Linked DNA regions of Drosophila melanogaster. The protein of the gene in region 2 interacts with the protein of the main gene of each other region in a pairwise test. Each region holds a gene or a part of one and is shown on either strand. Other genes may lie near its edges.

Region 1 (8,108 bases), on a different chromosome or scaffold from region 2:
CAGCGGCATAATATATTTGTATAATTAAATTAGTGTTACAATTCTCACGACGTCCTGGGGCGCACTCCGCTGCTGCCCGCCCACCACCACCGTGTGCTTGGCGATGATAAGCGCTCTACGATTCGATTAATGATTAGCGACTAGCGCGAATGTGAATGTGAATGTGAACCGAACCGAACCGAACCGAACCGGCCATGTGTTAGGCTTTGTGTAAATGGCTGGTTCCAACGCCTTGCGCTGAGCAAAAAGCACGGCATTGATAAGAAGGAGCAGATAATGGCACGCCAGCATACATACATATATTTAGTAAGAACATAGTTAAGCATAAGTATGAAAAGCTACAAAAAACAAAACAAAACGAAAGCAACCATTTAGCAAGGAGAGGAGCAAGGAGATTTGGCGGAGGAGCCGATAACAACAATAATGAAATTAATGGAGTAAACCAATTAAATCCATGGAATTCCCAAATCTAAAATAAAAGCTAACTTAATACGTTTTTATTTGAATGAAAGAGTAACAAATCGATTGTAATATTGTATTTCTTGTGGGCGTAAAACATCGACAAACGCTCGACCCGTTTTACTAGCATTTAAAACAACTATTATTTAAGAGCATTTTAAACATGAAAAAAAGAAAATAAAATCGGCAGCTACGCGCTTCTATCAAAAGCACAATTGTAAAAAGTCAATCCAGCTCAGCTGCAATGAATGAATGAAGTCTCCCGAATGAAAATGTTAAACGAAAAAACCCCAACAAAAAAAAAAAAAGAAAACAACCAATCATTAGCAAATTTGTCCAAAAAGAAAAGCCCAAATTTTCGGTTTTCGTACAGTTTATTTTCTCTGATCTCGGTTGGGCAAGGGAAATTATACTTACGATTCGAATCGATTTGAAAAGATACGATACCTATGGTGATGATGTTCTCAATGTAAATGTTAAGATTGATTGTGTGATTCACTGGCTGCTGCGCTTGAAATCGAGGCCTTCAAAAGCGAGTAAAGTACGCGTATCTCCAGCTGAATCCCTTTAGATATTTGTTTGTTATCCTTGTATCCAGATATATATTTGTATTCAGCACAAGCCCAGTCCAGTTTGGCCAGTTAACACGCTGGCAGAGAGAAGAGGGATGAGGATGAGGATGAGCTGGCGGAGTCACCACAAACATTTCAATATTATGTAATCATAAATTATGTATCTAATTGTATGTAATATGTATATCTCCATATATGCTCACTCTGATTAGCTCCACATATGTATGTTTGTATATAAATACGCAATTATCGAGTTGAACACTGAAAAGAAAGCACGTTTCGCAAGTAATGGCTAAATTGTAAAGACTACCACGTATGGAAATTAAAAACTAAATATACCATGTAATAAAGGATAATTGAATTCAAGCAGTAAGCAACTACGGTTAACATTTTCATTGTACCATCGGCATATCCACGATATCCTTTGCCATTTCCGGTGCAGCCTTGGAAAGGATGAAACGCAGATGTGGAGCCACGTATTTATGTATGCATGAGCCTTTGTACAATGTCCTAGAGATTCGATTAAACTCCCGCCCCTAAGATATAATTTTATAACTGAAATTATTTACTAAACCAAAATAAAAACAAATGAGAAGAACTCTAACTTTAAAAGCATGCGAAACAATGAATGTAGGAAATCAAAAGTGAAATAAAGAGTTAAGACAAAAACGTAGTGGTTACACATCATTTGACCAGCATTGGTTTTGTCCACTGGATGAAGGGAGAGTGGGTGGATTCGTGGTTAATGAGTAGGCGATAGATCTGATTTATTCTTCCCAAAGACACAACGCGTCTGTGAACAAGACGGACACACTGAGCTTAACCTAAGTATCTATAACGACAAACTAACTATATGGGTTTTTCTTTAGCTGGGGAGAATTCTAAAAATAAATAGAATTAATATAATAATTTAGTTCGATTAAATGTTCGGCCTTATGCAGGGCTCCTCGGAATCACTGCATCATTTGTCCCACAGCCCCAGCTCGCGCATCTTGGTCTGGAAGTAGCGCTCCAGGGAGTTGGCACACCGATAATACTCGGTGTCGGGCGAATTGTAGAACCGACAGTTGGAGAAAATGCGCGCCATGTCCGCCATGAACAGGCGGCGCGTTTGGTAGTAACCCTTCTTCAGGCGCTCGCCCATGGTCTTCAGGTCCATGGGATATTTAATGTGATCGTAGTAGTCCGGAACTTCGGCCGCGGTCACCGGGCGCAGGAAGGGCCAGGCGGTGGTGTGCTGGCGCACGGATTGCAGCACGGATGCAAAGGACGTGGCCAGCTTCTCCGGATCGGTGGATTCCTCGAGGGGTCGCGATGAGCGCGCCGGACGATTTTGCGGCTTCCAACCGATCTCCCGCAGACCAGGAATCGATTCCACGGGAATCACGGGCAGGCCCTCCTTGAAGCAAGTCAAGCCGGGTCTTACTTTCTGCACCTCGTTGTGGCGCTGTGCGATCAGCTCCTTCAGAATCTCGCTCTGACTGCGAATTACTGAAAGGAAGAATTGGAGTGTAAAATGGGACCATGGATTCCTTGTCCATTCTTTGACTAACCAGCTATGAACTGCGTGTTCACAATGCTTGGATGCAGCTCGCAGTGCATGAGAGTAGCACTATCGTACTCCTTGATGTAGCCCGCATAAACTGGTCGCGCCAATTTGATGTCCTTGGAGAAACCCTGCTTCTTGAAGTACCCGATGGCATCGCAATCGGCGAATGTGAGCAGATGCTTGATACCCCTCTGTATGCTGTAGTCCTTCAAGTGGTTCATCAAGTGCGTGCCATAGCCCTTAACTTGTTCCGACATGGTGACCGCGCAGAAAACGATCTCGGTGAAGCCTTGCGACGGAAACGGGCGGAAACAGATGCCGCCGATGGGTTGGTTTTCCTTGATGAGCGCCAGTGTTTTGTGCTTGGTGTCGAAAACCAACTGGCTGATGTACTCGCGCGGCATCTCGGGTAGCTGATAGGCAAATACGAGCTGCAGGCCCAGTAGCCACAAAACAGTCTGCTTGTCCACCGGTTTGGTCAGCGAATTGCCCACCACATGGAACTCAATGGCTCGCTTCTGCTCCTCCGCCTTGACGTTCTCATCCCGCGACACATTAACCGGAAAGAGAATTTCCGCTTTGTTGGTGGTCTTCGACTCGGACACCGATTTCATGGCGCGCATTACTACATCCGCAGGCAGGTCATCCAAATTCTCACTGCGGCAGGACGATTAGTAAATGTATTGAAAGAAGAAAAAACTGATTACCAACCTGCTTGGACGATCGGTGGGCTCCTTTTTGATTCGCTTGTGGAGCGGTTCACCCACACTGGTCCTCTTGTTTCCACCAATGCTTGCTGCACTGGGACCAATGGGTACATTTGCCACCTCCTGGTTACGCTTTCTCTGCTGGATGACAAAGGAATTTGACGGGCGGTAGCTGGTATCCCAGATGGGCGAATCATCCTTGAGCAATTCGGCGCGAAGCGTTTCCAAAAACTTCGGCATCAGCGTGATGATCGAACGCTTGTCCTCGGGAAAGCGATCCCGCTCGGAGATGCACTTCTTTTTCAGCTGCTGCGACATGCACTGGAAAACGGTGCGCAGGAGCGTTCGTCCAAACACTAGGGACGTTTCACATTGGCGCAGGGAGTTACAGAAGGCGGGCACGTGGCAGAACACCAACCACCTGGTGTAGTTGATTTTGTAGTTAGAGGCATCCTCGTGGGTGAGATCTCCTCTCCTGGTCGACGGCGATTCAAAGTTGTAGTGGTTCAGAAAGTTCAAGAACGTCTTGGCCACCTCGGTCATGGTTTGGAGTTCAGGCGTGCTCAGGTGATTGTACTTGTAGAAGACCAACGAGAGCACAGCCTTGGTGATGCACGGCGTCTCGAATGGTGGATCGCCGAGAGGACCCCGGATGACCGCCTGCTGGCGCGTGAGGACGCACTGGCGCAGCAAACGGAAGAGGTACTGGTACACCTTCTTGGTGTCCTCGTCCTCGACGCGCTGCATGGACATGAATAGGTTCTCCATGTCTATAATGGCGCCCAGTAGCTCGTTCATGCTGGAACTGGATATATTGTCCAGATGGGCTATGTGCGATCTCAGCGAATGGCGACAGCTGGTGTTGCGGCACTCCTCGTTGAACTCCGGACAGTAGGAGGACTCGACGTCACGGTGGCGATTTTCCTGCGGTGTCTTCCAGCCGGTGCAACGGCATCCCTCAGACTGGCAGGCGGAATACATCGACAATTTGGCCAGTTTCTGTGGCACGGGCAGATTGAAGACCTTTTGCTTTCGCTGCTGAATGCGCTGTAGGCTGTTCTGGCGCGTTCCCTCTGCCGGCACACTGCCAGCGCCGGACGCAGCTCCTCCGTGTCCTGGATTCTGGGCGCTGCCAGCGGCTCCAGATGCACCAGCGGTTGCTGCGCCATTCGCTGCCTGCTGCTGCTGTTGCGCCGCAGCGTTGCCCGTGTTGTTACCATCGATTGGTTGGCTTTTTATCGTTATGGATGGACCACCAGACATTCCAAGATCGGCAGATATTGCGATTCTCTTCGTTAGTTTTGAACAAAGTGTACTTTTCCTTAAATTTCACAAGCGATACAACGAGTTTGCCCACTTGCTGTGCGCAATGATGGTGCTGCCAACCTGGCGTTTTGTGCAAATGAATTTCTCTCGGTGGTGAAATAATGGTTGAATATATATATTCTATTAACGATTTTACGTTTGTCCATATAGTGTATACTCGTATTATCTGGTGACAATGTTTTTAGACTTTGAATTTAATAAGTAAAAATTAGCAGGGGCGTAGTCAAAACAACTGAAAATTTGTAAGGGGGTTAAAAAGAAAATATTGCGCGGTTCTGCAAATTAATGTGACCCTGGTTTTAACTTATAATACAATTGTGTGAAAATTGCTCACAAAATTAATTTTAATTAATATTATTTGTAAGAAAATACGAAGTCTACGCCCATGCTCACAACTGTTTTTTTTTTTGGCGCTAATGCAAAATGCACTGCAATAAAGAAATCCCCTTTGAAATCGCAGACTAAGCAAATAGAATGGATTTTAATCAGAGTTTCGAGGACATAGAAAGCCAGCTGGATAACTTCGTGATACGCAAGAATCAACAGAGTGAAAAGTCCACGGGCAAATGTGGTCCGGAGGTCCACGACAACGTGCCGCTGACCATATCCCAGATTGAGCGCGCAACTCAGGATCCGGAGAACGAGAATGTGTTCATCACAGACGACGTGCATCCGATTCACTTCTGCACCTGCATCATCTACGCCTTTGTAACTGGCAATGGAACGCACAACGAGTCGTTCATGAAGTTCATGATCGATGATGGCACCGGCTCCCTGGAGGCCAGCATCACCAAAAAACCCTTCAATGGACGCGTGATCAGCAGCCTGTACAGTGAAGCCAGTTCGCTGGCCTCGTCCGAGGCCTACAAGAGCATTGCCGTGAGCATGATGCGGCTGCTGCAGGTCTCCATGGAGTACATTGATCCCACGCGCATCTCGAGGGGCCACAGCCTATTCCTGCGCGGTCGTCCGAATAGGTTCCGCGGCAAGATGGGTCTGGACGCTTTTCAGTTCTTCATAGACAGCGGCCGATCGCGGAATATGGAAATTGGCTTCGTAGACTACCTAACCGACTGGCAACGAAGGCATAAAACAATGCAGAATACAACAAATAAATAGTATCGTTGGTTTTTTGTATTGAAATTTTACTGGTAATAAAAATTCAAAAAGTTTTAAATAAGGAGAATTTAGGTTGTTTTTGCTCGTATGGCGGCACGTTTGCCGGTGACAGCCTGGAAACCTGACTTAATGCTGGCCACCGAGCAGCGGGAGCCACAGGATTCGCACTGCAGGAAGAAGAGACGCGTGTCCTTCTGCAATATCGTTTCCGGGGAGCGGCAGGTGTGACAGGTGACGTACTCCTTGATGTAGCGACGCAGCACATTCTCGATCTGTTTGGGCTGGAAACGGCCCTTGATGATCAGCTGCTGGTTGCCGTCCATGGAGCCACTGGTACCCAACTCGGCCAGCAGGAAATCGAGCAGATGCTTGGGCAGGCGATGCAGCGTTTTCGCAATGTCCATGAAGTTGGCAAAGGAGGTCTTCTTGGTTCCCACGCGCAGCACCTGCGGCGGTCGCATCACGAACTTTGGCTTTCGGCCGGCGGCCATGTCCGGATTCTTGTCGAGAATGATTTCGAAGACCCGCTTCAGCAACTCGTCGTATGTGTAATCGCGGTCGGAGCCAAACCAGGTTGAGCTGTTGTCCTCGTCTGTAAACGGATGAAAACGTTATTTAAAAGGGTATGGTATAAGCTTATTTGCTAAGTGAGAGCTTTGAAATCTGGAGTCTATTTAAAGTTGGAACAGCTACATGCTAACTCACTGGCTAAGCATTTCTAGTTCACTTCATACACTGAGTTTTAATGCTTCGGAAAAGGCGAAAGCCAAGTTATACACTTTAAGAATCGTATAGCTTTGCCTTTGTCAAGTGACAACAAGCTTATATGGCTGCCAATCTTGGTTGGGATGATTCTATAACCCTAAGCTTCCCTGGCTGCTCTGCAATTCGTCACCGTACCGTTCTCTTTGTCTTCGCTCTTGTCGTCGTCCGCTTGGTCCGCAAACAGCTCGTCCAGTTCCTTCTTCTTGCTCTTCTTCTTCTTTTTGGCCATCGAGAAGTCCATGTCCAGATTGATCTCCTCCTCCTCGGGCTCCTCGCTGGCGGCCACATCATCGCCGCCAAAGCTGGGTATGGCCGCTTCGATTTCGTCCATGTTGAAGGGCTTCTTCTTCTTTTTCTTCTTCTTGCCGAAACTCTCCAGATCTAGATTATCCTCCTCGGCGGCGGCACCTCCTTCCGCCGATGCCTCATCCTGGGGATCCTCCTTCTTGGTGTCATCCTCCAGACCCAATGCCGCGTCCAGATCGAACGTGGTCTTCTTCTTCTTCTTCTTTTTCAGCAAAGTGGGATCAAAACCCTGCGAAAATCATTGGAATTTCAATATGGTTTAAATCCGGATCAAGCAAACATAACCTCAATGTTCGCCCAGTTCTCATACACAAATGTGTAAATACACACATACACATACGCAAACAAGGGCGCACATGTACGATAATATGCGAATTTTCCACGCAAGTTTTCCGCGTATGAAACGCACTAGCCGGTGTTCCGGGAACTTACGTCTTCCGCGTCCATTGTGTCTGGGCTGTTTGAATACTAGTTGACTGGAAACTAATTTTGTTTTAACTAAAAAAACTGCAATTGCATCAGCCAAAGTGACAGCACGGCAATCAGACGGTGTGACCGGCTGAGTTTTAGACGAGTAAACCATCCGGCATGCGAAAATATACTTTTAATACCATTTGCATAGATATACCGAGTATTAATAATATTCAAGTAAAACTTTTTTATAAACAATTGCTAAATTAGTTAGCTAAATTAGATAACTTTCGAACTACGAACAGTTAACATTCAATAACTCAACTCGACTTTTGAACGTATGCTTTAATTAACACAAGTATAACAGTTTTGAAGTATTTGCTTACATTGTAACAGTTAACAGTAGTCCTTATCAATTACTGTCCTACATGTCTCCGCTACTGACCGCCAGATGGCGCGTTTCAATTCTGCCAGCTCCATTAACATTTATTAAAATGTTAAGTTTAAAAATAAAAGTTGGCAAAATTTTAATTTATTTGCCGGGACAGTGATTTAAATTTGCCATAAATTGTGCGTACAGCATAGTAAATTCCAAATGAAGTGAAAACTGATTTATATTCGACCTAAAGTAAAAGGATCTTTAGATTGTTTAAAAAATACTTTTATAGAAAATAGCAATACAAACTTGATTAGGTTCATTAATCTCTACTATCAATTCTTTTATAATTTCAATAGTTACCGCTAGCAGCTCAACAAAAAAATCAACGTAGCGGTTGCATTTTCATTAAATTCTTCAATTACAAAATAGCGAAGGACATAAAATTGCAACTTTCACAATGTACATATGTATAAATAAACTTGAAAAGAACTTTATAAATAATGGCAAAAAATATG
Region 2 (8,219 bases):
GGCGGATGGTACTCCCTTGTCAAATTGCGATTGTGGCTGTGCCCAGCGGCTGGCCATCGGCACTCGGATCGCCCAGGAAATCAGGGAGGAGCTCAAGCTCCGGCTGGGAATTACCTGCTGCGCTGGAATCGCCTATAACAAGCTACTGGCCAAGCTAGTCGGCAGTAGTCATGAGCCAAATCAGCAGACCGTTCTTGTTTCCACCTATGCAGAGCAGTTCATGCGGGAACTGGGCGACCTAAAGCGAGTCACTGGGATTGGGCAGAAGACGCAGTGCCTTCTCCTGGAGGCGGGTATGTCATCCGTCGAGCAGCTGCAGCAGTGCGACATGGACGTAATGCGGAAGAAATTTGGATTTGAAACTGCCACCCGACTGCGAGATCTGGCCTTTGGCCGTGACACGAGCTTAGTCCGTCCCAGCGGAAAACCCAAGACCATTGGAATGGAAGATGCCTGTAAGCCAATATCCGTGCGTACCGATGTGGAGGAAAGGTTTCGCATGCTGCTCAAGCGGCTGGTGGAGCAAGTAAGTTGACAGTCATCTATAAGTTCAGTAACAGCCAACTTACGAACACATTTTGATTCCCCAGGTTGCAGAGGATGGACGCGTTCCCATTGCCATCAAGGTCGTGTTGCGCAAGTTCGACTCGCAAAAGAAGAGCAGCCACCGTGAGACCAAACAGGCCAACATTCTACCCTCCCTTTTTAAGACCTCCATGTGTCCAGGAGAAACTGGTGTGAGCAAGGTACAACTGGCGGATGGCGCCCAGGATAAACTCCTCAAGATTGTGATGCGACTTTTTGAGCGAATTGTTGATATGAGCAAGCCCTTCAACATCACTCTACTAGGCCTCGCATTCTCCAAGTTCCAGGAGCGCAAGGTTGGCTCCTCATCAATTGCTAATTTCCTGATCAAAAAGGCGGATCTGGAGGTGCAGTCTATCACCTCACTGACAAATACGAGTCTCACAAGTCCCACAGCGGAGAGTCCCACATCAGACGAGTGCGCCTTCCGCTCCTCGCCAACAACATTCAAACCCAGCGATCAGTTCTATAGGAGAAGAGCCACTACTGCATCACCTGTGCCCATGCTACTTGATAATGGTTCCGAATCAGCGGCCACCAATTCGGATTTCAGCGACTTCTCTGAGACTGAGGTGGAACCCTCGCCGAAAAAGAGTCGCATTGGCCGATTACTTGTTTCTAAGCGCAGCCGCTTGGCGGCGGATGTGGGAGATTCCGCCGCCGAAGTAGCTTCGCCCAGCAAACTGCGTGTCTGTGATCTGCGCCTCAACTCGCGGGATAGCGAGAAAGACTTTCCCATGAGCACCACGCCTTCTACCTCTACGTCCGCGCCTGCGCCTCGCTTCCGCACCGTCCAGCCACCAAACACGTTGCTGCAACGGATCGACGGCAGTCTACGCTTTGTTACGACGCGCACTGCCAGTCGCTTGAGCTCAAATGCTAGTTCTACGGCATCCTCGCCGCTTCCTTCTCCCATGGACGACTCCATAGCCATGAGCGCACCCAGCACAACAACCTTGCCATTTCCCTCACCCACCACGACAGCGGTGGTCACCAGCAGTAGTAGTACGGCCACGTGTGATGCCCTAACGAATATAGTTTGTCCAGCGGGTGTGGATGCCGAGGTGTTCAAAGAGCTACCCGTGGAGCTGCAGACGGAGTTGATCGCATCGTGGCGCAGCTCCCTGGTGGCGGCTGTTGAGCAAACGAATGGGACCGGTGCCGCTACAAGCGCAGCTATCGCCAGTGGAGCCCCAGCAACTGCCACAACCGCCAGCGGACAAAAGAACACTTTGTATCGCTACTTTCTCCGGAATAAGTGATGCAGTGTATCCGAGCATCACATCGTTTTTAGTTATAATGGTAAAGAGAATAAATTTGTTTAAATATATGATATATTTTTGTAGGTATACGGTTACAGAGTGCATGCTTTAGGGTGCCGCATTGGACGAACATAAGCTAGGATAAATAACTAGTGGGTTTCTTGAACTGAATGAGTGATTTTGTTAAGTTTATAATACCGAAGAATGTCATTAGATAACCGCATTTTCATTTAACAAGTTTTAATCTTCGCTAATTTATAAAACATTCCATATGTGTTAACATATTAGATATTTATATATTTTTTCCAGCATTGTTTTCCATTCCTCAGCCTAGTACATTGATTATCATGCTCTCATGGGCTTTAATGAATTACGTTCAAATGCATTGTTCAGAATCTTGCCTAGAAAACTAGCTACCATAAGAAATAATATACGAATATAAATACTCAACGCGGTATTATCGCTATCAGAGGCTTACTCAATACCTTACTTCTTACATATCCTAGCGGCATTCAGTCCAAAGCGGTCTCCCAGCTGTGAGATCCGAGAAACAAGTCGCGTCCTTGTTGTACATTCACTATTACATTTATTACTTCATTTACAATTCATATCATACATATTCAATTGGTTGGGTCCCCTACTTAAGCTTAGTTAATACACAATATCTGAATCCCGACATCTCACACAAAGGAACAACACTTATTGTAATTGAGCTTGACTTGATACAAGTAAATTGATTTTCAGTTTTGTAGTTTTTACCTTGATGAAAATGCCAACGACAGTTGAACAGTATAAAAATGTCTTTAACCTATTCTAACTAATACAAAAATAAAGTGAAGTCCTTGGAAATGCATGTGGCTCTTAATCGAAGGGGAGCGGGAAGTTGGAAGATGTTCAGTGGCTCAGCCAGCCGCACTTGATAAAGAACTTGCGCAGCGAAGTCTCCATAGGACTACCCAACGATGGTGCTCCGCTCAAGCAGACAGTCTTAACCGAGAGGTAGGTGGTGGGCGTAATATTATGCTTCTTGCACAGATCCAGCTCGTTGTGACTGAGCAGTTCACTGCCCGGCGGCTGTGGCAGATGTTTTAGTTCCTCCAGCTGGGTGCGCAATTTCAGGCTCATGCTGGGCACCTGATCACTGCCTCCGCCGGCGGCCTCGTTTTGCATTTTGTGCTGGTTGCCGCTTTGCAGGAGCTGAGGATGCTGCTGCAGCGGCTGCAGATGTTGTTGGCTTCCCTTCGCCGAGTTCGTTGGCAGATTCGCCATCGTCGTAGCCGTGGAAGTCACTCCCGTCGTCGCTCCCGAGTCCACTGTTACCCCCATTACCATTCCCGTCGTCTGCAGCATCGTAGCTGCCGACGATCCCCGACAGCTATCCAAGTAGTTTTTGCTGGGCAATAATGCGCCGGAGCAGGTCGGGTCGGCGATGTGGAGCGTGTTTCTTGGTGCGATTGAATTTGAACTTGCCTCGCCGCCGCTTGACATTTCGCTAAATAAACGAAAAACCGAATTATTCAAGTTCTAAGGTAATTGCAATTTTTTGCCAAAATACTTACACCTTTCTGAGATTCGGTTGTGGGGAGTGCAAGGAAGAGCTTGGCGGCCGATGACTTCCATTGGAGGTATGCGTGTGGTCCTGTGGTTAAACATTGTCTTATAGAACCATTCGAACGCTCGTTGTTTGGCGCGTTTATTATGCAGTGGAGCTGAATATCGTGAGACAAGACGGAAAAGCGATTGTAAGAGTTGGGTCAGTTCAGGTAAGGACGACGGTTAAAGCAAGGCAGAACACACGATATTCAACTCGTCATGCATTCTCAGTGGGAAAAGCTTACTCCAAGGGGAATGAAATCGAAACTAGCCAATTTGACCATTTAATATTCTGTATTAAGTATTCCAAATCGATTTATCCAAACTTTTATCTATACATTCAACTTAAATCATTTGTTTTCTTTCAATTTAAGTTAATCTACTCATTGTTGATAAAATTATAAAGCTACCGGTTCCGGTCACCTAACACCTCTTTTAATTTTTGTGAAACAATCGAAAGAAAAGGTAATGTTTGGATTTTAATAATAAAAAAAAAAATAACAAAGTTCCAAAAAGTTCGGATTTTCAAGACCAAATAAAATATTTAATGGTTAGTTCGATTTCGGCACCCCTGTTGCGGAGCCTTAAACTTACGGTCTTGCCATGGCCATATGGTCCTGTAGAGCGGTGCGTCGCTGTTGCGGCGTGCTGCTCGAAATGTGTGCATTCCGCGATTTTGGTCAGGCCATTATACCGGTATCGGTACAGCTCTGACTGTCGAATGCGCAGTTCCTTTTCGCGCTCCAGTGATCCCAATAGCCGCTCATACTCGTTACACGTGTAGAACTGGGCGTAGACCCGAAATCTGTCCCGAAACTCGCGCTGCTCCTTGGTGAGTCCTTGTTGCTGAGCGTAATTTCTGTTTCGGAAGAAATTTGATACTAATTGATAGTCCCTGACCATCCGTTTCCTGCGAGCACGCTCTCTGAGTCGGCGGGTGTATATGTCAACGTGGGCCAGCTTAAGCATCACATCCACCTCCGTATCCTCGGAGCTTAATGAGATGTTCGAGATCAGTTGCTCTGCCGTGGGATCGTACTCCCGCTCAAAGCTGTCCCTGTTGGGCATGTAGCCCAGCTGCATGGCCTCATCGGAGTTGATTTCCAGTGGAGGCAAGGTAGAGAGAGCATTGGTGCCCAGAGGACCAGCGTCGTCGTCTCCAGTGTGATCGATAAGGCGGGGTCTCTGGCTCTGGGCCGGCGTCCAAGTGGCCCTTCCAATCGTGCCATTTACAAACTTATTCACGTACTCCTCTTTGGCATCCTCCGCTGACTTCGTCTCAATGTGCTTGCTAATGTCCTCCCAGTTTCCAAAGCCGTACTGCTCGATTGCATCCAACAGGCGGATTTCCTCTCGTGCCGTCCACGCCCCCTTTCCACGAAATACACTCAATATGGAAGTGCCGGTGTCCATGAACTGGTAGGAGTGGTTGTTTTGATGGGCGCCGATCTCCGCACCTGCGGCAAAGCACTGCGCAAAAAATAAACAATACAATATAAATACAGAGTCAGCTGTTTTTTAATCAATATGGTGAAATTGCCGGTTGTGTGTATGTATTATTTGAATGTCTAGATGAGTCAGTTTTTGGTTCCAAATTGGCGACGCATCTCTAGATTGTACGAGTGTGGGTGTAACAGGGTGGGTCGATTATGTTGACAAAGAAAACGTGTAAATAGTTCCTCGATAAAAATAATTTGATTAGGAAATTAAAACAGAAACATATTTCATATTCCCTAAATTTACGCTTTGTCAGGCCTTTTTTTAATACAAGATTCAGACACTTATTTTGACATTTTTTTCTTTTTAATTTATGGCATTTAACTAAATAAAAATGACACTGCTAATTCGTAAGGAAGTAATTTTTAATTAAATTAACTACGATAGTCTACCTATTTACCAAAATCAATAAACAAATTTCCTTTAAATTAACAAAAAGTTAAAGCAAATATTTTTCTTGTCAAGATCTGGGTGACGTTAATTTAGAGGATTGAGGCCATATGGCCATTAGTTTGACCATCCAAAGAGGGTGATTCAAGAATATTTTGTTAAAATAACTGATTTTTATTATTTACAAATCTATATACAAGTATCTAGAACCTCAAAAAGAGCGAACCACCCTACTGCAACATGTATACGTGCGTCGCTCGACGGCGTGTATGTGTGAGTTACTTACTTGCAGACACAAATCGAAGTTTTCGCACTCCGCGCAGTGCACTCGAATGCCCTGAATATCATCCTGGCAATTTGTGCAATTATACTTTGTGAATAAATCCGCGATTGTGGTCATTTTGGGCCAAAACCTGGATTTTCACGACAATTATGAGTTGTGCGAAAAAAACCTATGCCAGTAATGTGACCAGACGCGAAGTCAACGCCATATTGCTCTACTGAGAATTCTTATATGTACGGCCAACGAACCGAACCAGTTCATCGGAACAGTGCCGCCTATATAGCTAGTCTTAAAGCCTTTTTAGCTAATTTTCATAATTCTGTTGAATCTCTGAATTATAGTTAATTTCTAAATTATACTACTTACCAAAAGTACCAACACATTAAATATAGAATACAAATTTCAAACATTAGGCACATGTTCAAAACTCTAATGTTTATGCGTTAAATATTGATAGTAGTTTATTTAATTATTTTAAAAGTTTAATTCGAGTGTTTTGCCTTTTTTAAATTATCACAAAAAATAATATTAATATATATAAAATAAAACTAAAATAAAAGAAGTGCATATCAAACCAAAACAAGGTAAACATAAATACGAATATGTGATGGTTGAAACATTTGTAGCGTGGTGCTGAATAAAAATATAAAAAACTCATGTGCTTAAATGCAGTTCGATACGTAAATTTAAGCGGTGGTCAGGATTAAAAACTTAAGCTAAATTCTGAGTTACAAAAAAAATATAAAATGGGTAAATATCTTTTGTTTCAAACAAAAAGTGTAAAAGTAATAACTGCCGAAAAATATTTCGGTTGCTTACATCTAACATGAATAGGGCGTGGGACTGCCGAGATATTGTAGGTTACAATCATTACAATCATTGGGAAGGATTTGGGGTAGGCTACGCTGTATAAATAGTTGATTATTCGATTAGTTCATATGGTGAATACGTTTATATTATTGTTAGTATTGCTGTCTTACACCGAGCAGTAGCCGAATTGTTATGGGTTCCAGATATCTCAGTGGGCGGTGAGGACTAGTTTGTGTTGCATGTGGCTTTGGTGGCATTGTTGCTAGTTTACTCTTGCTAGTTAGCTTGGACCAGAGAAAAACAAAACGAGTTACACGATACAAAATGGGTTAACAGATCTTAAACAGATATGGCAAGTTACTTGTGCAGCTGCGCTTTTCAAAAACACGCACACGGCCAACAAAATTTATCAATTCGAGTACCTAAAAACGTCTAAATAAGTCTATTTGAGCGCCAAATTCGGTTTTGGTGTCGCACCTGCGTCTGATCCTAGGGACTGAAGTATGTTTAACAATACTGTTCGAGGACATTCAAGAGTTTGAGATTCACGATTTTCACAGATACGGTTCGATTTGAATTCGCTTGCGTAAGGAACTAAGGAAAAGTCACAGCGCAGGCGCGACCCCAGTCGTCATAATTGACGACTGGCAACGGAAACAGATCCATGTCCAGATCCGTCTGAACCGCCTGCTCCCAGCATCGAGACTCATAAGCAGGCGGCCGCGATGGATGGGCTCTCAAAATTTGCATAAGCGAGTAGTCCTAAAGCATAACTATCAACTAATTTGGTATGTAAAGTCTTTGTGTCTTTGTCATGGGCATTGGCGCGATGAGGGCTCAAGGTCCTGTGGCAATGGCCAACTAGCAACAGTATGACCAACATGCCGGCAGATGCCACAAACTCTGCACCATACTCACTCGGATATGGGAACCGATTCGCTGTGCTCGGTGTCTCGTCTTTGTCTCTAAACTCTCGCTGCTCATCGTCATCGTCTTGGGAAGCGTCTAAACATTGGCTAAGCTTGGCGGGGATCACTGGTGTGGTGAAGCTGGAATAGGTGCTGACATGGCTTTTGGCGGCGCTCAGCCCAACAATATGCATATGATTGCACACACTGTGCTCGATTTCGGGATGGCTGCTGTTGTTGGTGACGTTGGATCTGCAGCTACTGCTACTGGCGAAGATCGTTTTCGTGGGTGCGGATAAGTTATTGGGGTGTGTATTAATTTGCTTTTTGATAAAATACTTGAAGAGGGTTTTGTTCCTCTTTAGTTACGGTTGAATCTGCTTCTTGGGTTTTTTTAACTCAGCATCTTCGTCACGCTTAATCTCGGTGTACCGCTCGCCCTTAAGCGATACGATCTTATTGTCCCGGTAGCGAACCAGCTTGCGAGGCTCCATCTTCGGTACCACCGGCTTGTACTCGCGCTGGGTGGCATTCTTGTCAACATAGGAGTACCTAGATGGGGTCAAAAAAATAATATTTTACGTTTGGCTATTTTAAGTTGATATCCACTTCAATATACTGCTATGTTTATTTGCTTTTTAAGGTGTACACTTACCTAGCGATAATACGATTCTTGAGTTCATTATCGTCGACGATTACATTCTTCTTCATATAAGTAGTATGCGACTTGTCAGTAATACACTGGTTCGTCTCTTGACGATGCAAGAGAATCTGGGTGGCGCTATCGATGTCCCCCTTGGAAATTGCGATGCAGTGTTTGATCTAGAAATGGATTTAAATTCATTACACAGTATTACAAAATTCTTTAAATTTCACCATAAACTAATACTT
Region 3 (5,540 bases), 780 kb from region 2:
TTCAAGGACTCACCTTCATGTCGACTCATTATTCGGCAGCGGCAGTAGGCTTGGCTTCAACTTCCAAGCGATCAGGAGAGCGTCTCCCGCTTAAGATTGACTTGCTTTTAACTTCCAGCTGTGCTGGTTTTATGTGGGTTCCTTGCGGGGCTTCGGAGGATTCCAGTTTTTGAATTTAGATTGAGAGGATCTACAAGAAAGCAGTGGCGACAATTATTCATCAGTTGTTATACTCCTCACATTAGAAAGGAAAAGTAAAGCGGATAAAAAGGATACTGAAATTGCAGGGCAAAAATTGCAGGGAGAAGGACATGGCATTTCCTTCTTTTGTTTTCCCTGCTCTTTCCTAGTTCTCTTCTTTTGTATTGCCCGCGATTACGGTTCTTTCTTTTCGCCATTCCGTTTGCCCAGCAAAAGGCTAGAGAAGAGAGGCGCACATAAAGAGAGGGGCTCCCTGCACTCGGCCCCCGCCACAACCCTCTTCAATGAGGCAACGAATTATTCAATACAATCGTACGCGAGCCATCGAATAATTACACTTAGCAATAGGACTTCAGCGGGGCGTCGAGGGGTTAATTGCGATTTTCCCCGCAGCAGCGATACCGCTGCACAGTAAACATTTATTTTTAACTTTTTCGGTTTCGCGAAAATTTTCAACTCGACGATGTCGTGGGCTTTTTGTGCAACCGCCTCTGCCCCCTCACCGAAAACCTCTTCTCCTGGCCCTGCTCCCGAAAAGCAAAGCGCAGATATGCGCGAGTGTTGCCGTATTTACTGAGGGTCTCAGTTAGCAATTGCTCATTATTATTTCGTGTTATTATTATTACAGCTATTGTTTATAAACATTTGCATCCACTTCACACACACGGGGAATTATGCAGACTTTTCGCGTTAATCATGTCATGAGCACTCAGTTGGTGAATTACGCTTTTTCTCACATACATCTGGCAACGCCGCCAGTCATGGCACAGTGGCGGCCGTACAAATAGACGCGGTCCCCATTTGGTTAAGAAGAGCTTTTGCAAGAACTTTGGGCAGACAGGCTGATTTGGGCAGCTGGGAAATAACAGTAGGTCTGTTTTAGTTTTGTCACTATTTATATGCTAATGCGTTGTCTGTATCTTGCTCTTGTTTTTCGGCACATTGTTCATCGGCGCGCAATTTTCGTACACCCATCTTGACATATACACAAGCATTTTGCACTGGTGTGCTATGTGTCTATGTGCAGACACCAATATGTGTATTCTGTTCTACGCAATTGCAAATTGCGCCTGGGATCTGATCTCTTTTGTTCGCCGCGATATTTCGCACAAGATGCTCCGCTCGCGATGTGTTATTGTTGTTGTGGGGCTGCTGTATTGCAGTTTTACCGTTTTGCTTCACACCGATTTCGTTAGGGATTTGATAAGTTATTGATTCGTTCTATTTTGGGGATAACACGACAACGTACTTTACTTTGGTGCGGCATTGGCTACTTTACGATAACTTTATAACACTAGACCTCGAAAATGAACAATTGAAACGAAAATAAGTTATATTATATCGAGTGAAAAGCTTTTCCTGACCTGCAGTGCGACCGTTTGCCGCTTGAGCGCAAAATACCGAATGTCGATAACTACAGAAGTTGGAATTTATCCGAAAATCCACCCTTGGAAAATTACATTGTCTTGTCAATTATTTTCTTTATTATTAAAATAGTTTTTCTTAATCCTCTAGCTTTTCTGGTGGTGGCCCACATGGCTGCAGCATTCGCTCCATCAGATTAAATCGCACTCGTGCCTTCGATTCATTTTCCGCTATGGCAAAGTAGTTGAGAATATCGTAGTGACCCATGTAGCTGGCCAAGGAGTCGCGATGTTGATTTGTTAGCCACTCGAACTTTGTGGTATCCGCGTGTCCTGTTCCGATGTACTTGCTTTGTAGATGCTCCAGCTGGCTGTGGATATTGTAGCGTTCACCCATTTTGCTTAAGTTGTTTCAGTATTAGGCGAGGAATAGTTAATGTGCAGTGTGTTATTTTGTTGTTTGCGTCTTGGTGTGGCCAGAAATTTTGTATGTTGGTATTTTTATTACTTTAGTACATGACACTTTGGTATTTTAGTACACAGGCGGCAAACTTGGTATTTAAAATCGTAATATTTGTTTACATTTCGCTGTCATTTATAAATTATTCATTTATCAAGTACTTTGATAAGCAATGTGTGGACGCACCTGTCTGTAGGTATATAATTTTTTCTTTCACCATTTCTATTAAACGCCTCTTCAGAACTCTAGACCCTGATCAGGTAATTTGTGCCTGTAAATATCCAAAAAAATCTACTCGAAAGGAGCCGGATTTCAAAGAGAAAGATGATATGAAAGATGGGGAAGGATCCGAAATGGAGACTCCCGAGTGGAGGGCGGAATACAACCTGGGTAGACGCTACCAGGCCTCCTACAACATAGCCCCTACTGATATTACGCCCGTGATCGTGTCCGCAGCTCATTTTTCAGACGCCGAGGATCAAGAGTGCGCCCGCGTGGTAACGCCCATGATGTGGGGCATGATTCCCTTTTGGCACAAGGGTGACTATCGGCGGCATGGCCTTACCACCAACAATTGCCGTCTGGAACACCTGATGGACTCCAAGCTCTATCGCGGTCCCTTCAAGCGAGGTCAGCGGTGTGTAGTTATTTGCGAAGGATTCTATGAGTGGCAGACGGCTGGACCTGCGAAGAAGCCATCGGAGCGTGAGGCTTACCTGGTATTCGTACCCCAGGCGGCGGATGTGAAGATCTACGACAAGAATACATGGTCGCCCCAGGATGTGAAGCTTTTGCGAATGGCTGGACTTTTTGACGTCTGGGAGGATGAAAGTGGCGACAAGATGTACAGCTACAGTATTATCACCTTCCAGTCCAGCAAAATTATGTCCTGGATGCACTACCGCATGCCAGCGATCCTGGAAACCGAGCAGCAGATGAATGTGAGTAAAGCATTTGTTAATCCTTCGTTAATCCAGGTCCAATTTACCCATCCTCGCATATTCTAGGATTGGCTGGACTTTAAGCGAGTTAGCGACAAGGAGGCCTTGGCTACATTGCGTCCGGCTACCGAACTGCAGTGGCATCGTGTTACCAAGCTGGTAAACAACTCGCGAAACAAAAGCGAGGAGTGCAACAAGCCGATCGAATTGGCGGCTAAGCCCGCAAAGCCACCGATGAACAAAACGATGATGTCTTGGCTGAATGCCCGTAAGAAGCGGGAAGATCAAATCAAAGCAAAACAGAGCGACGATGAGGATCAGGAAAAAGAAGCTACGACCATGGGAGGGACCTCCGCTGACGGCTCACCCGTAGAGAGGCCCGCCAAGCGACCCAGATTCAGGGACTTTAAGAGGAATCGTACGGCAGCTCCCCCGCAGAGCAGCGGCAGCTAGATGAAATCGGGCAAAAGATAAACCTCATCAGTAACTAAAGTTCCATAGTTTGTAGTACATTAAGTTTATTTTCAGTAAAAACCAAAATTTTTATTCTCAATAACCAAAGTTTTAAGCATTATCATCGTTGTGGTGAGCTTACTTACAAATGTTGGGACTTAGCGACTAAAAAGTTGTTTAGAATTTGTTCTCTCGAAGTGAGGTTAACTAACTAATGTTATGTTTGAACTTGACGTAATTAATTAAATGGTCTCATTTCTGCGAGTGCGATTCAATTTTGAGCGCCACTGTATTGAGCTTGGAAGTTTTTGTTGTCGCGGCATAAAATGCAATTAAAACAAAATGAAAAGCTGCACATAAAGCATGTAAAGTGTACATATCGACCGTATATTGTTTGCTCGTCTACGTCTGATTGCCTTGGCGAAAAATGAGCGAAAATTAATGGGAAATGGTGTCAATGTTGTTCGCGGGAAAAGCGTGGAAGTGGTACACTTGCTGAGTTGCTTACAACTATCAATTTGTGGTATATTAGGCTACGAATTGTTTAATTATTTATATATTTATACGTTGTATGAACTTTAAAATGCTCAATGACAAATACAAATGAATACTCTGCACACAGCGTGTCCACATATGAACTTAATCCTATATAATCGATGAGAAAGTTTAGAATTCATGGGCTATATAGCGGTGTAAACACATTGCCTTTAGTTACGAACAATCGTAAGGCCTTAATTGTAAATACTTTTGCACGGCCAATGAGCGGGTTAAGTGGAGGCGGTGGCGGGCGGGCTAATGGATACGGGAGGTGGAAGTGAAGAAGACGTAGCACACAAAAATAAAGATATCTGAATCGTGTACGTGACTACCCCTATGTACTTAAAATGCTATTTACGAGATTACAATTTGCATGCGTTTGGCTGAATTATTTCAACAATGTAAGATGGATTGCACTTGAGAAGTGGTTAAGAGAGACACAGATTAAGTTGCGGGACGGGGGAAGAGTGGGAATCGAAAGAAATGGTGTGGGTATTACTCGAACGGCGTGCTGAACATATTGATATTCAGATCCTCAAACGTGGTCGGCGTGTGATCCAACATCTGCAGCATATCTGAGAACTCCTGACCCTGTGGCTGTCCTGCTCCTGCTGGTCCACCGGGATGAGCGTGCGGATGGTGCGGATGCGCCGTTGGGTGCGGCGGATGCGGGTGTCCTCCAGCCTGCTGCCAGTCCCACATTCCCGGCGCATTGGGTGGCGGTGGTGGTCCCGCCTGATATGCTCCTGGCTGCGCTTGCTGGCGATTTCCGTTTCCGGCACTCAATTGTGTATAGGTTGGACCGCTCGGCGACCTGGCCGGACTCGTCTGCTGATACTGATAGCCTTCGGTCACGGGCTGCTGCTGCTGTTGTTGCTGCTGGGGACGCAGTGCTGCCCAGGAGTTGGGTGCCACCGGCGTGGGTGAGGTGCCAGACTTGGGTATCTTAGCCAACGGTGATGGTCCGCCAGCACTGTACGGCGAGTGTGTGGTGTCGTAGGTATATCCGACTGGTGTGGTTTGCGCCGATCCTGGCCGTTGCTGTTGTTGCTGCTGCTGTTGGGGCGTAGGAGCCTGCATGGCCAGCATGTGCGTCTGGTACATGCCATCATTCGTGGCGCTGCCCACTGGAGTTAACTCGCGGCGCGCATAGTCCACTCCTGGGGCAGCCTGAACATAAACGTGTTGCTCCTGCTGCTGTTGTTGTTGCACTTGCTCGGGCGTATGAGCAGCCGCCGCATCCAGGGGAGCACCGTGCATGGTCTTCCCAGAACTGTTGGTGCACACTATATATTCCACTTCGTCGGTATATGGATTCAGAAAGGCATAGGCCTGTGTGCGGAGCCAAACGTACTCCGAATTCTTAGCTCTGGCTCTGTACAAAAGCGAGAACATCTGTCCCTTTTGCTTGAGCACCTGGTCAAAGCTCTCCTTCATGTGGCTCTGGTCCTCGGGATGAAAGAAATCGTAGCAGATCTTCCCCAGCAGCTCAGTAGGAGTATATCCCAATATGTTAAGGACACGCTGATCCACAAACGTGAACTTGCCATCCATCGCATGACGTGTGATGAACTCACTCTGATT
Region 4 (7,920 bases), on a different chromosome or scaffold from region 2:
CTTCGCTGCAGCAGAAGCAGCTATATGAGGAGCGCAACAACAATATTGTGGCCAAGATCAACGAAGAGGTGATAGAAAAACAACCAGAAGCCTGCAACATCACAAATCCAAGTGCATTTGATGGCTCGACGGCCAGCGATATGGAGGTCGAGCCCATGGAATGGCAGGAGTCTATTGAAGAGGAGGCGGCACAGAATGATCAGGATGAGGCTAAGAAAGGGGACGACACTCTATTGATGCTGCCGGCGGAGTCCATTGAAGAGGAGGCGCCACAGAAAGGTCAGGATGAGGCTAAGGAAGAGGACGACACTATATTGATGCTGCAGGCGGCCGATGCCGAGGAGCTGCCCCCAAGGCTTGAGGATTACATGTACTTTGTGCTGGACACCAACGTCCTCATACACAACCACAAGTTCGTGGAGAGACTGACCGATGTGGTGCTGCCGGGCACGGTGGGCAGCATGCTGTACCTTCCGTACATAGTAATCAAAGAGCTGGACAAGCTAAAGAGCAAGTACCAGTCGGACTGCCTGCAGCGTGTGATTGCCATGCGAGCAATACGCTTTTTGAACACCAAGTTCGACGAAAGCTTTCAAATACAAGGTGGGTCGTGGATTGTGTATGTAAATCGTTGGAACTTACCTATGTGTATTATCTTTGTTGCAGCTCAATCCGCTTTGGAGGAGGCGGATCACCTGATCAAGATCGACTGCCCGGATGACAGCATTTTGAATTGCTGCCTGCAGCTGCAGGCGCAGGTTCCCCACATGATCCTGCTCACCAACGACGCGAACCTTCGGCTCAAGGCCAATGCCTCCAACATTCAGGTCTCCTGTCGCTCTGATCTGATGTCCACCTATGTGGATGAGTTCGCTGGCTTCGGCGATTAACTCGATGCCGTCCGAGCTCCCACCTTACATTTAGTATACGAAAGACTGTGACTGCGTTTGTGATACGGGATCGGGTGGCGGGCGAAAGGGATCGACCAGTCAAGCAAGATGCACCGCGGCATACATGAAGTACAATGAATCTTTATACCCACAAACATCATCTAGCATACATTCAGAGGAAGGCCACTGACGACGTGTTCACCCAAGACTAAAAACTTGCACATATTAGAAGATCAGATTTGACTGCCATTTGCTACGTATAATAAAGTTTGTTTCTGGATATATTTGCCTGGCGATTAGCGTTCTAGAGATAGCCAATCCGCGTGGCCCGGAAGGGCTTCCTCCGATCGAAGATGGCCGGCTCGCTTGTTTGGCTTTAATTAGCCGTACGCTGGAGTTGCCGACTTTGATTGCGCCTTATCGGCTGGGCAAACAAGATCGAAGCAACGGCAGAGGATTCCCCACATCCGCTGGAGTTCACTTGCCCGCTTCGTCGGCCAGATCGAGCTCAAAGCGTACGCAGCGTTCGCCCAGCGCGGTGGTTTCTCTCCTCCCAAACTCACTCCCATGGTGGAAAATTCTGTGCTTTACTCTCGATAGTGACGACTTTATTGCCGCGCGATAACTTAAGCTATACAAAGTGTATGTATTTGGGAGTGTTAAATAGGGTGAATCAATATTTATAGTTGCGAAAGACATGAGGAAAACAACGTGCTCGTAAAATTTTGGGAAATTCCAGTAGCGGAAAGTTTTTCAGTTCATTTAGCGAATAATGCGAATCTCACCCTCCACTTTTATGTACACAAAATCAAATTTAGCATTTAGCATGTAAAATCTACGGATATCCATTTAATTTTCAGGCAATTACAAACAAATTGGCAAAAAACTGTAGGCTTACAGAATACGGAATACGTTACTAAGCAAGGAAAGGGAAATTATGATTTTGTAAAAGAACAGTTTAAAATACGCAAACGCTACTCTCCGCCACTTGAAGATCTTATCTAAATAATTAATTTCACTTTAATCTTGAACACTACATTCTATGAGCTAATGTATCTTTGTTAATGTACAGTCTGGTGACGAAGATAAGAATACGGGTTTGGAAGCTAGTCGAAAACGACTCAAAAGTGGCGTTCGATTTGGGGAAAACGAATGCCAAAACTCGAGGAAAACTTATGCAAAACATTTTCCGCCACCATGAGCGCATCTTCCCAAAACGTCCACAACTTGGATTGCGGACACTAGAGGCTACGTGTACGTGTCGAATAGCGTGGCTAATTTACAGTCTGGCGAAATGAAAGGAGTGGCGAGTAAGGAGGAGCAGCTCCTTCAGACGCACTGCAGCTTGAGGCTAGCGTCGCGGACCTGCCTCTTTGCCTGATGCATGGCCATTAGCTGGCACCAGCCCCAGGCCAGGCTCCTGTCCTACATCTTTGGCTCTAACAGGGAGTTGCCGGAGCCGCCGATGCAGGGCAGATGCATCTGCATACGCTCCAGCTGATCCGCAAGTAGGCGCTGCTCGTTGGTCAGCCGCAGTATCTCCTGCTTCTCCTCGATGGTGTGGCCCTTGCGCTTGGCCCGATACTGCAGCATTCGCTTGTAGCACTCGAGTATCTCCTGGTCCACCATGTCCAATTTCTGTTTGATGGCAATGCGCTTGATTTCCTCACTGGCAACGGCACGCAGTCGCTTCAATTCCTCGCTGTTAAACTGCGAAATGGTGCTGATTTCGGTCGTTACGCGCTTGATCTCCATCAGCACCTCGTCCACGTCTTCGTGGGCCGCAAACTCACTGGCATCGATCAGTCCGTTCTCGATGAGAGTCTTCTTCAGGCGCTGTTCGATGCCCACGCCGTGTTTCATCATGGCGAGAGATCGAAAGTTCCCGGAAGCAGCTGCTGCGGCAGCATTTGCCGAGGACGAGGAGTGCGAGTGGGTGTTCTCGTTGCTGCTGCTCGTGGTGCTGTTGCTGTGCTCGCCCACGGCGGCCTGTTCGCTGGGCAGCGTCATCAGGGACTCCTCCATTAAGGCGGACACCAAACGCTGGGTGAGTGGACCAGTGATGCTCTCATCCACCATGCCTTCGGCCTTTTTGAGCATTCCGCTGGAATTGTTCGATTTAATTCGAGCTCCGCCCGGCTGCAGCGCCTTTATATCCTCCTGGGCCCAAACTGTGGAGTAGTGGGGACCCAGAGGTGGCACTGGCGGCACCAGTGGACCCCAATACTGCTCCAGCAGGTCATCGATTAGGCGCAGATCCTCGTTGGTTAGAGGCATGCAGTAGGGCTCCACGGATAGCCAGAACTTGTTGGGCGTATCGTTCTTGGGCACCGTCATTTTCGGTAGCTGCGGCAGCGGCTGGTGATGCGGCAGCACGGATCCAGAGGCATTGGCGGCCGCCAGTGTGGGCAGATAGTCCATGCTGTCGTCGGTGTGCACGACCAAGGGGCTGTTCTTGGCCTGGTGCTTCGAGGTGCCGCCGGAAACGCCCTGTTGCTTGAGAATGGTCATCGAAGAGTGCTTTTTGCGCACGCCCGTTGGCTCATCCCGCTTGCGCTTCGATTGGCTAGAGGATGAGGCGCCTCCGCCGCCCAGCGGGCTGCCCAGACTCGTCGACGAGTTGCTGCCGATGCCCAGCAAGCCGTTGAGCATGCTAGCCGGACAAGGTGGCGATCCAGGCACACGGTCGAGCTTTCTTCGATCCTGGCGCTTCTCATCCTTGTCGAGGCTATCATACTCCGCTTTCAGGACGCGCGTGCGCAGCGCCACATTGGAGAGCATCTGTTCCAGCTCCAGTTGCACTGCATCCAGATCCTCGGCCGCCAAATGATCATCCGCCGGACGCTGCAGTGCCGCTGCAATGGTGGGCAGCAATTTGGGCACGTCCCGAGTGCGAATTATTGGTATAACGACGCCGCCGGGCGTGGCCAGCACCTCGGAGTCCAGGAAGGTGCTCGTTGGGGCGGATTTGCCGCCACCTGTGCCATTTGTGGGCAGTTTTCCAGCTCCTCCGGATGACGCAGAGATGCCAAAGCCACCGGAACCGAGCGAACCACTGAAGTGGGCCAGTTTGATATTCTTCAGGTTCGCACTCATGGAACGCGACTGCGACTGGTTGGGGACCTGTGTGTTAGCTAGATTGCGGATATATTTGCTGTTTTTCCTGCTTTTCTTGTGTTGTGAAAATCGCAATTTGTTTTGCGTCGATATGGCAGTGTGACCGTAGCGGAAGACGGGTAAATACTAATGTACAAGATGGTAAAATACTGGAATGGGCTACACGCGCGGGTTATGCACAGTGGGCCAAACAAAAAAAATTCTCATGAGTAGCTAAATATTTATAATTTAAGACATACTTAACTAGCATTTCATTAATTAACTTTAGCAGTAATTGAAACTGTTTATTTGACTTTATTTCAGCAATTGAAGATAACGGAACATTATCGCATGGATACATTTTCATACCACTTGATTTTATCCACAAAATAGTGAAAAATACTCTCTGCAACTATAACAGTGATCGTGCACAACAGAGCTGCTCCAGCGCTGTGCAACACTGGTGGCCGCGTAGCGCGCGTGCTTACCAATACTTTGCTTTTTTGTTCAGTTCTTTGTTGTTGTTTGGCGTTCGCATTTCGCCCGTCGTCGTCTGAATTTTTTAGTGATATGCGCGCTATTTCGGTGATAAGCAGTGTACTTAACAAATCAGCGACTGTTGACAATTTGTAATGGCCAGTGGGAGCAGCTTGCGATGTTAGAGTAGACCCATTCCCCCCCTTCCGCAGACGAACTGCAAGTGCAAACTGCAGTGTATGTATGTAATTTTATGTAATTGAACACCCATTTCCCAAACCCCACCCCCCCAAAATCCCACAAAGCATGCAAACACATCCAAACATTTGAACATCCAAGCACCCAAAACATCGAAGCATCCGATAATCTCGGACTGGTTGCCTCCAATTGCGCCTCGTTTGTCCAATTGTGAGGCGCAAATCACAAGACAAGTCGAATTGACGCTCAGCCGCCACGCCCCCTTCGCTGCTCACGACCACACCCCCCCTCCCCGCGGGCGGGAATCAACGAAAATCAAAAGCCAACATCCAGCGATTCAGTTCGGTTTAGTTGGGTTCAGTCGTGCCGACATATGCACAAATATCCCAGCTTCAAAACGCTGTTTCCCTTCGATTTGACTACACTTTCCCAACTGGGCATTTTCGCTATCAGAAGAGGTTTGCAATGCCACCTTTAAGCTATGATCTATCACCGAACTGCAAAAGTTTTTTATTTTCGTTCTACGCCAATTAACTTAACTTCGACTTGTCTATTTTACAATCAAAAAGTGCGAAGTGTATTGTTTAAGTTAAAATTCGATCCCCGAGAGTTTCGGTTCTAAAGATCCTAAAATAAACAGTGAAAACAATTTAATATAAATGAACAGCGGACAAAAGTGTTTTATTTAAGCTTGGTTTCATGTTTTGTATTCCATAAGATGTGTACATTAAAGAGAAGTGATATATTCGTTTCGAGTTTCTTTTGTTTGTTCTTCAATACAAAGATAAATACAAGCTTCCCCCATCTATTATCTCAAGTAAAAAGTGATCATCAGTCTATATAGTTCTTTGTTTCTTTAGTTAATTCTTTGTTTTTGCTATTTGCAATCTTGGCAATGTGAATATCATCTGGTAGATAGAACAACTGAAAATCGTAGCTAATTTGAATTTATATCTCGTCATAGAAAGGATAGTGTACACACAAACACGTTTGTTTTGCGAGATAATCCCATCGTGGATTGCACATAATATCTAGAACAATATGTCGAACAATAACCGCGGGCGGGTAAGGGTATTTGCAGTGCCGCCAAAACCTGAACAAACCCTCCGCTCTTGTTTTATTGATCAAATATTTGCGTCTACGTGTGTCGTCGTCGTCGTCGATGTGTTCCGTTCCGGCGATGTCTCAGCGATTATGGGGCTTTTGTGTGTCAGCTGTTGTTTGAAAACGGCACTAGCACATGTTTTATAAGCCCAGTCGCAGGCCAGTCGGCTCGTTATCAGTGCCAATTAAACCGGAGAAGAGAAATCTGTAACCACCGGCGATAGTGGCGATAAGGTCGCAGCCCTGAGATGATCGGGGATAGCTTCAGCGATGCACCCACCGGCTATGTCGATCGATCAGAGCGCAGCTCCTACCATCCATTACGATTATGACCATTGTTGGCCATAAGCTAGATGGCCAATCAATCAGCGAGCCCATCTAATTTTAGACTCCACTGTTGACGTTAATTGACCGCCAGCCAGTGCCACGCCCTCCCTCCCCCTCATCAATTATCGCCCAGGTAGTATTGACCATCGGTTGCTCAGCTGGGAATGATAATCAACTAAGTGAGGGGAAAACATTATCAGCGTATCCGTATCAACGTATCAGTGCATCAAAACCGCATTAAATTCAATTAGATATATACATAGCTGATAAGAAATGTTGTAATTCCCATTTAATCAGCATTTTGTTGAGATTTACAACAAGAACTTAAACGGTTTAATCAATCAACTTGTTTCCATAACTCACCTAGGGATCGGGCCATTGATACTCATATTTTAGACTTCTTAGTGATAAATTTAAGTGCCTTAATTATTTTTCGACATGAACAATGACTATTTACGATAATTTAATATCTACTGAGCAGCTAATTCAATTGATAATTATAAATAAATATCAAAATTAAACGGAAACAAAAGAGGCTATATTTATAAAGCTTGAATATCTGCATAATGTTGATAATTAGATTTAGATAACAAAGTTGTACTTATTATCAAGATGAGATATAATTTTAAGAATTATTTTTTTTTTGCTGTGTAGGGTATTATGTGAACATAAGTTCCGGCCAGAAATCGAGGAAGGGCAGCCGTTATATGAGAGGCTTAAATGGCAAGAAAAATACGACAGCAACAGTTGGCGACGCAAATATTTGTGCAATTGATTAAAACAGTGTCCCATCCAGATCTCTATCTGTATCTTATACGTTTGCTGTTTGAACTGGCGACAAAATTTTCCAATTTGCTTAACTCGTTATGCGGGCCACGTTAATGATATAGCTATGTACATACATATGTATATCAACAATCATATACATATGTGTATTCTGTAAAGAGTCGAGTGGCACAGACCCCAATAATTGTTTATATATATTATTGCTTATATGTACACATATTTTTTCGGGGCTCGGGTGCTTATCAGTTGTGAAGAACACACAACCGTCCAACCCACCCACCGTTCAATTTACGATAGCCGGTAGTCGCATATAACGTGCTTTAGTTAATACGCCCGATTAGCTGCTGCACTGATTTGAGCCATTATCCATTAGTTCGCTCGCTCGTCCGTTAAATTAGCGGCGGAGAAAGCTGGGCGATTGGTTCTACATATGTACTGACTTGAGTCTCAACCCCACCACATTACTCATCCGTCGCGAAAACAGCTCTATTTGGGCGGTGAATCACTCACTCCAAAATACATCTTTCCTAATCTTGAAGTGTACGTAGTACAAGCATAATTTAAATGCACTTGGCTAGCTTTAAGTACGCATACGTTATACGGAAGTGCCCTTAACAACTCTTCAATGCCATCGTTTCAGACGCGCTTCACTGCAGCGCCGATCAACGGAACGGATCCGATCTGGACTAGACTGAATAGCCCTAGAATAGCCAGGTCGAAAAAGCGCTAGCCATGAAATTCGCCGAGCACCTGTCGGCGCACATAACGCCCGAGTGGCGCAAACAATACATTAACTATGAGGTGAGTTTTTGGTTCAACATGGGAATTCGCCCAAGTAAACGAAGAAACCAACTGATAGCACAATTTTTGTGCCACAGGAAATGAAGGCCATGCTGTATTTGGCCGTGGAGGAGGCGCCATCGGTGGAGAGCGTCGAGGACGACGTGCTGAAGCGGCACTTCGCCAATTTCGATGAGAACTTCTTTCACTACTGCGACAAGGAGCTAAAGAAGATCAATACGTTCTACTCGGAGAAGCTGGC

The links.
Region 1: the proteins of Ada2b (region 2) and Gcn5 interact in a two-hybrid assay, tested with the Drosophila melanogaster proteins (4 studies listed by BioGRID).
Region 3: the proteins of Ada2b (region 2) and Sf3b5 interact in a two-hybrid assay, tested with the Drosophila melanogaster proteins (one study listed by BioGRID).
Region 4: the proteins of Ada2b (region 2) and Ada3 interact in a two-hybrid assay, tested with the Drosophila melanogaster proteins (4 studies listed by BioGRID).

What each region holds. Positions count from the first base shown.
Region 1 is NT_037436.4:12,519,354-12,527,461, forward strand, and holds Gcn5 (Gcn5 acetyltransferase), read right to left. Parts: upstream 4,662-8,108; 5' UTR 4,551-4,661; coding exon 3,292-4,550; intron 3,238-3,291; coding exon 2,585-3,237; intron 2,523-2,584; coding exon 1,993-2,522; 3' UTR 1,776-1,992; downstream 1-1,775. Other genes in the region: ver (verrocchio), read left to right, coding at 5,088-5,732; eIF2beta (eukaryotic translation initiation factor 2 subunit beta), read right to left, coding at 5,801-6,324, 6,633-7,032, 7,236-7,250.
Region 2 is NT_033777.3:8,234,697-8,242,915, forward strand, and holds Ada2b (transcriptional adaptor 2b), read right to left. Parts: upstream 5,820-8,219; 5' UTR 5,728-5,819; coding exon 5,614-5,727; intron 4,911-5,613; coding exon 4,035-4,910; intron 3,557-4,034; coding exon of another isoform or gene 3,487-3,556; coding exon 3,407-3,486; intron 3,340-3,406; coding exon 2,742-3,339; 3' UTR 2,418-2,741; downstream 1-2,417. Other genes in the region: PolI (DNA polymerase iota), read left to right, coding at 1-526, 591-1,847; CG9636 (uncharacterized protein), read right to left, coding at 7,694-7,880, 7,984-8,150. UniProt on the Drosophila melanogaster protein: Component of several Gcn5-containing histone acetyltransferase complexes that regulate nucleosome organization; involved in acetylation of histone H3, particularly on Lys-10 (H3K9ac) and Lys-15 (H3K14ac).
Region 3 is NT_033777.3:9,013,303-9,018,842, forward strand, and holds Sf3b5 (splicing factor 3b subunit 5), read right to left. Parts: upstream 2,040-5,540; 5' UTR 1,963-2,039; coding exon 1,705-1,962; 3' UTR 1,670-1,704; downstream 1-1,669. Other genes in the region: Kcmf1 (potassium channel modulatory factor 1), read right to left, coding at 14-29; CG11986 (uncharacterized protein), read left to right, coding at 2,198-2,217, 2,267-2,966, 3,033-3,419; tgo (tango), read right to left, coding at 4,452-5,540. UniProt on the Drosophila melanogaster protein: Involved in pre-mRNA splicing as component of spliceosome. As part of the spliceosome complex, plays a role in the regulation of spermatogonial differentiation.
Region 4 is NC_004354.4:18,081,978-18,089,897, reverse strand, and holds Ada3 (transcriptional adaptor 3), read right to left. Parts: upstream 4,138-7,920; 5' UTR 3,987-4,137; coding exon 2,316-3,986; coding exon of another isoform or gene 2,220-2,315; 3' UTR 1,480-2,219; downstream 1-1,479. Other genes in the region: Swt1 RNA endoribonuclease, read left to right, coding at 1-603, 667-890; CG7536 (uncharacterized protein), read left to right, coding at 7,611-7,679, 7,757-7,920.